Linked DNA regions of Macaca fascicularis. The protein of the gene in region 2 interacts with the protein of the main gene of each other region in a biochemical or structural test. Links are inferred from orthologs where the notes say so. Each region holds a gene or a part of one and is shown on either strand. Other genes may lie near its edges.

Evidence for each region.
Region 1: of the proteins of PML (region 2) and RNF4, one has a biochemical effect on the other in vitro, tested with the Homo sapiens proteins (3 studies listed by BioGRID, with this or other methods). The link is inferred for Macaca fascicularis from reciprocal best matches to the Homo sapiens genes PML and RNF4.

The regions. Positions count from the first base shown.
Region 1 is NC_088379.1:2,630,950-2,635,270, reverse strand, and holds the start of RNF4 (E3 ubiquitin-protein ligase RNF4), read right to left. Parts: upstream 2,883-4,321; 5' UTR 2,757-2,882; intron 1-2,756. UniProt on the Homo sapiens protein: E3 ubiquitin-protein ligase which binds polysumoylated chains covalently attached to proteins and mediates 'Lys-6'-, 'Lys-11'-, 'Lys-48'- and 'Lys-63'-linked polyubiquitination of those substrates and their subsequent targeting to the proteasome for degradation.
Region 2 is NC_088381.1:50,921,943-50,925,751, reverse strand, and holds part of PML (protein PML), read right to left. Parts: intron 3,430-3,809; coding exon 2,957-3,429; intron 1-2,956.

The DNA.
Region 1 (4,321 bases), on a different chromosome or scaffold from region 2:
GGCTGTTTCATTTACATTGAAAGTCTGTTGTTCAGTGTGGCCACCTTCATCAATTATTTTAGCTATATATTCTGCATAACTTGCTGCAGCTTCTACATCAATGCTTACTGCCTCAACCTTACACTTTCACATTACAGAGGCGGCTTCCTTCCTTAAACCTCATGAACCAACCTCTGCCAGTTTCAAACTTTTCTTCTGCAGCTTCCTCACCTTTCTCACTCTTCACAGAACTGAAGAGAGTTAGGGCCTTAAATCTGGATTAGGCTTTCGCTTAAGGGAATGTCACGGATGGTTTGATCTATCCAGACCACTAAAACTTTCTCCCTATCAGCAATAAGGCTGTTTGGCTAATCATTCATGCGTTCACTGGGGTAGCATTTTAATTTCAAGAACTCTTCCTTTGCATTCACAACTTGGCCAACTGTTGTTCAGCACAAGAGGCCTAGCTTTTGGCCTATCTCAACTTTTGATATGCCTTTCTCACTAAGGTTAATCATTTCTTAACTTGATTTAAAGTAAGAGAGATTCAATTGACTGTTCCTTTTGTCTGGACACTGTAGGGTCACTGACTGGCCTAATTTCAATATTGTGTCTCAAGGAATAGAGAGGCCTGAGAAGAGAGACTGGGAACTGCCAGTCAGTGGAACTGTTACTAGACACCCAACTTTTACCAGTTAAGTTCACCATCTTATATTAGTGCTATTCATGGTAACCCAAAACACTGACCACAGCTCACCGTAACAGATGCAATAATGAAAAGGTTTGGGGCTGGGCATGGTGGTTCATGCCTGTAATCCCAACACTTTGGAAGGCCAAGGCAGGCAGATCACTTGAGGTCAGGAGTTCGAGATCAGCCTGGCCAACATGGTGAAATCCCGTCTCCACTAAAAATACAAAAATTAGCTGAGTGTGGTAGTATGTGCCTGTAATCCCAGCTACTCCGGAGGCTGGGGCAGGAGAATCACTTGAGCCCAGGCAGCAGAGGTTACAGTGAGGCCGAGAACATGCCATTGCACTCCATCCTGGGTGACTGAGATTCCATCTCAAAAAAAAAAAATGTTTGAAATATTGTGAATTACCAAAACTTGACACAAGAGACACGAAGTGAGCACATGCTGTTGGAAAAATGGCTGGCACTTACAGACTTGCTCGACGAATACTTGCTATAAACCTTCACCTTGCAAAAAAGGCAATATGTGCAAAGCACAATAAAATGAGGTATCTCTTATTCCCTCCATCCTCACCCAGCTACAGGAGGGCCAGCACCACGACTGTTGACTGCTGTAAGTTTGGCATACAGGACACCTCAAAAATATGCTACTTCGATCTTGAGGAGAGTGAAATATCTTACTCATTTTATGTACAAAGCACAGATGTGTATACATTCTATAAAAATAGTTTACGTATGGCATTAAGATTTCATGAAGATTAGAAAAACAATGTTTACAAAAGCTCCTTACAAAGGTAGTAATTTAAGATCAATAAACGATGTATTAAAGTAAGATTTTTGGAAGCTCAAATTCAGGCAATACAAAAGCCAGCAACACAGCTTGCTACTCAAATGTCCCTATTTCATCTCAAACTCACAGTAAAACTGAACCCAATGTATCCTTGTCCATTAACAAGTAAAACACCAAGAAAACAACAAAACATTCCCTTCAATGTCTCTTTTACTGTCAGCGGTCCCAAAACTCCTGGTCACCGAATTCAAAAGCCTAATCCTGCAGTTAAGACTTAATCTCATCTGCTGCCAAAGAGCCGGCTTTGTGACCTTGGGCAGACTACCTCACTTTTCTGGACCTCAGTCTCCCCAACCACTTGGACACTGTAAGTCAGATTCCAGAGCTGAGACCCAACGTCTGGCTCAAGAACTTCGTGCAGAAACAGAACAAAAGTTATTAAGACTGTGAACGTCTATGGGAACCGACAAGTGAAAGACAAAAGCTGAAATCCCTACCAAAACTGCTTGCCCAAGCTCTATCCTTTTCCCTGTTTCCTCGATGGATCAAAGGCGGAAAAGCGGTGTTTACTAGCAACTCTTTTTCGGGTCTTGAGAATCTTCATACGCCAGCCTACAGGCGCGCCAGAGGGTGAAGGGCCCGAGCGGTGCAGGGCTGGGCCGCAAGCCTCACAGTCACACGTTCCACCAACCATCAGCCGGGGCCCGGAAGCGCGTCCGGAAGTCGAGGCCCTACCAAGTTTTAGACTGCGACCTCGGCGCCCCACACTGTCAGTCCCGCACCCGTACTCAGATCCTCCCGACCTACAAAAGGCCCCGCCATGCGGCCCGGGCACCCGGGCACCCGGGCAAACTCGCAGGCCCCACGATGGCGGGGCGGCTGCACGAACACACAAAGGAGACGTCGTCAGCGGGGAACAAAAACCCTGCCCAGGTCTCCCCCCTAACAGCACACCCTGCCCGACTCTCCGAGTGACCTTGGGGGCGTTCCTGCCCTTCCCAGAGCCTCAGTTTCCCTTCCTAAGCTATGGACTAAGCCCCATGGCCGCGGCCCGCCAGGGTGAGCCGAGACCCAGACGCAGGCCTCTTAACTTCTGTCGCCCGCGCCAAGCCGGGTTAGGTGCGCCCGCGCGGAAGGCGGTGCGAGCGGCCAGAGCTGGCTCGAGGTCCCGGGCTGCGGAGTCTCGGCCGGGTGGAGCCGCGCGGGCCGAGGCCTCTGTAGGCCGCGAAGCCGCCTAAACCTCGCATCTGCACAGGCCCTGATTTGCCGCTGCTTCCCCGCAAAGCCCAGCCTAACCTGGAGCTAGTTAAGTCCGCAGGCGCCGCCGCCGTCGCACTCGAGAGAAGAAGCTGCTTCTCCAGCCGCCCAGGAGAGCCCCTCGAGAAAGATGCCGCCGCCTCAACAGCAACCCACTTCCGCTTCGGAGGCCTCGGCTCCGCCCCCCGCCGTGTGCCCATTGGCCGCCCGCCTACCCTACTTCCGCGGTTGGCCGGGTAAGGACAAATTTTTAAATCCTATTGGATAAGAAAACCATCTGTTACCACTTTAAAGCGCGCCTCTTTCCGCCCCCGCCCACAATCGAGCGCCCTAATTCGCACCTTCCGGCAAGAGACGGCGCGGGAGCGGCCCCGCCCGCAAGGCCTTCCGGGAGTCGCGGTCTCAGGGCCGACCGGGCTCCTGTACCCGGCTGCGACTGACTGTCCCAACGCCGCCAGCGACTGCCCGCCGACTGCCTCCGGAGCCGAGCGGGCCCCGAACCTTCCCATTCCTAGTTTTCGAACCGCACACCAGCTGCCGTGCCCCTGGTTCGACGCAGCTGGCCGGGACGCGGAGCTGGTAGTTCGTCCCGCCCGCCGTTCCGCGCCCCTCTCCTGGCTCTTGTTTCCCCGCCTCTTAACGATGCCTTTGTGAGGAAGGTTGCTGGGCCTGGGGACTATGACGATCGGCTGGAAACCAGGCCTGGCCCTGTTTCAGCGCCCCCGCGTGCCAAGCCCTGGGCCGGCGTGCGGGTGCCTGCCCCTGAGAGGAACCTGGAACTTTTGCAGGCTGGGGTGCAGACGTGTACCTAACAGATGAAGAGTGTGGAGGATTGGAGGACTCAGGGCAGCACGGCACAGGTGCATGCAGGTCCCCGGTCGGACTGGAGAATGGGTGGTGGGTTTCTTGAGCTCCAGTCCCTGAGCTGGACTTTGACGTGGGTTTAGCAACCAGGAAAAAATCCCACCTTGTCCCTGCTGCCTGAGAATACCCAGACCTTAGTCCATGGCCAGCATCTCTGGTCCCTCGGCACCCCCAGGCAATGTGAAGGTCACCCCAAATGCCTTGGGTTGCATTGTTTTCTTACACTGAGTTTCTGTTTGTTTTGAGATGGAGTTTCGCTCTTGTCGCGCTGGCTGGAGTGCAGTGGCGCGATCTCGGCTCACTGCAATCTCCAACCTCCAACCTGGATTCTCGTGATTCTCCTGCCTCAGCCTCCCGAGTAGCTGGGATTAGAGGCGCCTGCCACCACACCCGGTTAATTTTCTTTGTATTTTTAGTAGAGACGGGGTTCCATCATGTTGGCCAGGCCAGTCTCGAACTCCTGACCTCAGGAGATCCACCCTCCTTGGCCTCCCAAAGTACTGGGATTACAGGTGTGAGCCACTTCGCCCGGCCACCGTACAGTAAGTTTCTAACCTCGAAAATGGAGTCAAATAATGGAATGACAAGGCAGATAGAAACCAGAGCATTAACGTTTTTGCGTTGTGTTTACAAACAATATGTGTTTGCTATTTTCTGTAATTGTAAGGAAATCTGGCATGGTAGAGTATCTGATAGATAAATCTAATTCTCATGTAAAATATCTAAGTATTTGTGTGTGT
Region 2 (3,809 bases):
CATCAGAAATAAAAAAAGGGGGTACAGTTACAGACATAGAGGATTTTTTTTTTTTTTTTTGAGACGGAGTCTCTCTGTCGCCCAGGATGGAGTGCAGTGGCACGATCTCGGCTCACTGCAAGCTCTGCCTCCTGGGTTCAGTCCATTCTTCTGCCTCAGCCTCCCGAGTAGCTGGGACTACAGGCACCCGCCACGATGCCTGGCTAATTTTTTGTATTTTTAGTAGAGATGGGGTTTCACCGTATTAGCCACTTTGGTCTCAATCTCCTGACCTCGTGATCTGTCCACCTCGGCCTCCCAAAGTGCTGGGATTACAGGCGTGAGCCACCGCACCTGGCTGAGATTTTTAAATTATGAAAGATAACTCAGGATGAACTGGAAAATTTTCCAAAAATCTGACACAAGAACCAGAACAGACTAATTCCATGGTAAAAATGGGAAAAGTTCTCAAAAATCTACTATAAAAAAGCACCAGTTCCAAGATGGTTTTTCAAAAAACTTTTATAAGCTTAAATTTCTTATATTCTTCAAACTGTTCTAGAGCAGAGAAATTATAATAGAATTTTAACATTCATTGAGTATTTAATATGTGCCAGGCACTATGTTAAACAATTTATATGTACAGTTGGCCCTCAGTATCTGCAGGTTACACACCTGTGGATTCAACAAATCTTGGATCAAAAATATTCAGGGAAAAAAAAATCAATAAAAAAAAGGACCACAATAAAAAATAATACAAATTCAAAAATATAGTAAAACAACTCTTTACATAGCATTTACACTGTATTAGGCATTATAAGTAATCTAGAGATGATTTAAAGTATACAAGGAGAGACTGGGTACAGTGGCTCACACGTGTAATCCCAGCACTTTGAGAGGCCTATGTGGGAGGGTTGTTGCTTGAGCCCAAGAATTCTCAAGACCAGCCTGGGCAATGTGGCGAAACCCTGTCTTTACAAAAAAAATTAAAAATTAGCTGAGCGTGGTGGTGCACACCTGTAGTCCCATATAATCTGGAGGCTGAAGTGGGAGGATTGTTTGAACCCCAGGAGACTGAGGCTGCAGTGAGCCACGAGTGCAGCACTGCACCCCAGCCTGGGCGACAGAGCAAGACCCTGTCTCAAAAAATAAAAATAAAATAAAAAATAAAGCATACAGGAGGATGTGTAGAGGTTATATACAAATACTATGCCATTTTATATCACAGACTTGAGCATCTATGAATTTGAACCAGTCTCCCATGGATCCCGTGGGATGGCTTCATTATCATGTTCAAAACATGAAAGCTTACAAATTCATTAAGAAATTAGTATAAGGCTGGGTGCGGTGGCTCACGCCTGTAATCCCAGAACTTTGGGAGGCCAACGCAGGTGGATCACCTGAGGTCAGGAGACCAGCCTGACCAATATAGTGAAACCTTGTCTCTACTAAAAATACCAAAAAATTAGCCAGGCATGGTGGTATGCACCTGTAATCCCAGCTACTTGGGAGGCTAAGGCAGGAGAATTGCTTGAACCCGGGAGGCGAAGGTTGCAGTAAGCCAAGATCGCGCCACTGCACTCCAGCCTGGGTGATACAGGGAGACTCTATTTCAAAAAAAAAAAAAAATTAAAAAAAATTTTTAAATCCAAAAGATATAACCAGAGATAAAGCCAATTTCCCCTAATTTATTGCAATTTCAATCAAAATCCAATGAATATGTAAGTTTTAAAACTGCACAAATTGTAAGAGCAAAAGAAACGCATAAATTTTTTTCCTTCGAGGAATTTGTTCCTGAATTCCTTAATTAATCCCTTAATTCCTCAAAGGAAACAACAACAACAACAGGCAAAGGACCTAAACAGGCTATTCACAAATGAAGAAACACAATGGCCAATAAACAAGTGGAAAGCCACTCAACCTTTACAACAAGCTAAGAAATGTGGTGATACCAGCTGTTGAGAAGTCAGAGGGGAAAGCTTATTCTGATAGTGGGGGAAGTTTATCCTAAAGCAGGAAACAAACCACACTCAGTTTAGCAGATATGTAGTTTAGCAGGTATGTGGTTTAGCCATATATAGTTCTGAGTTGTCAAAAACAAGGGAAAAATGCTTCCATTTTGCAAGTGGATCCCTAAGAACCAAGAAGAGCCTTCTATAAACAATCTATTTCTGATGGTTGAAAGTTCACATAGTTATGCTACCATTTTGGCTAAAAGAGGGAAAATAGGACCTGAGAAGACTGCTGCTACCTGCATATATAGTCATAAAGAAACTCTCAGAAGAAACATTCAAAACTACCTGTGGATGGGAAGAGGGAGAAGTGGTGGGAATTAGACAGTTGAGGATGGACAGAAGACTGCACTCTCTCTCTCCTCTTTATAAATTTTGTTCGTGAACTGTACAAATGTATTACCTATTAAAAAACTGAATTAAAATCTGTTTAATAAAAACAATTACAACTGGATGTGATTTTTTTTTCCCATACAGACACTCTCAGATAGCACTGCCTGGTGTTAATGGTCTCAACTTTTCAGACAGAAACTACCTACCTGCCTCTGATCCTAGAATCCAGCCTTACTGAGATTCTCTGTCAGCGCTCATGGAAAATTTCACTCGAAGACTTTCTAAAGGGCAGTTTGGTAACATGTATCAAATGTAGAATTTCTGTCCCCCTACAGCCAGCAGTGGCACTTCTAAAAATTTATCCTGAAGAAATTACTGGATAACAATGCAAAGATGATTCTGCAGCATTATTTATTACAGGAGGAAACTGGAAACTTACTATCCACCTGCGTGGGGACTGGCAGCATAAATTGCGGTCGTCACCACGGATGCTGCATATCTGCAGACCACATTTAGAGTTGCAAGGCCCCAGAAGCTCCTTGTCCTCAGCTGTGTGACTCTTTGGATCTTTGCTCCTCTCACCTCTACCTGGTTCTTGGATGCACCATCCCACCCTGTGCCAGCCCACTCACCTGGTCAGTGTAGGGGTGCGGTGGTTGGGGTTGGAGCAGAAGATATTGTTGGTCTTGCGGGTGCCATCCAGGAACTCACGCACGGACTGGTTGCGCAGCTCTGCTAAGGGCCGGGCCTCGTGCTTGAGGAACCACTGGTGTGCCTCGAAGCACTTGGCGCAGAGGAGCTGCTCGCACTCAAAGCACCAGAAGTCGGCGGACTCTTTGCAGCGGATGCACGCAGCCTGTGCATCCACAATCTGCCGGTACACCGACAGGCGCCGTTGCAGACTCTCGAAAAAGACGTTATCCAGGGCAGGCGTGTCTGCACCTAGGGGCCAGGGCGCCTGGCAGATGGGGCACTGCATGCCCGACTCCTCCAGGCATCCTGAGCACAGCGTGTGCAGACAAGGCAGCAGCTTCGGGCACTTGGCTTCAGCCTGGCATTGCTGGCAGCGCAGAAACTGGAACTCCTCCTCCGGAGAGGGGGCTTGCTGGGGGACCAGAGAGGCGGGTGAGGCCTGGAGAAGTCCCAAGAGCCCCCACCCACTGGCCAACCACCCTTACAGCTGGAGCCTGGAGTAGGACCTCATATTCCATTCCAGCCAGTCATTGGATGATGCAAAACCCTGGCTTATCAGCACCCCAATACTCCCACTTATTCAGGCCCTCCTGCTCTCACTGCACCATTTATTGAGCATCTACTCATCACACACAGTACTAGGCCCTGAGATATAAGAGGTATAGGATACATTCTGCCTTCAAGGAACTCAGTTTGGAAGGTAGATACAGTAAGTACCAACCTCATATAAAGTGCTTAATGCACAGTTTGGGGGTTCATCAAAGAGGTAAGCATGGAACAATCATATGACCC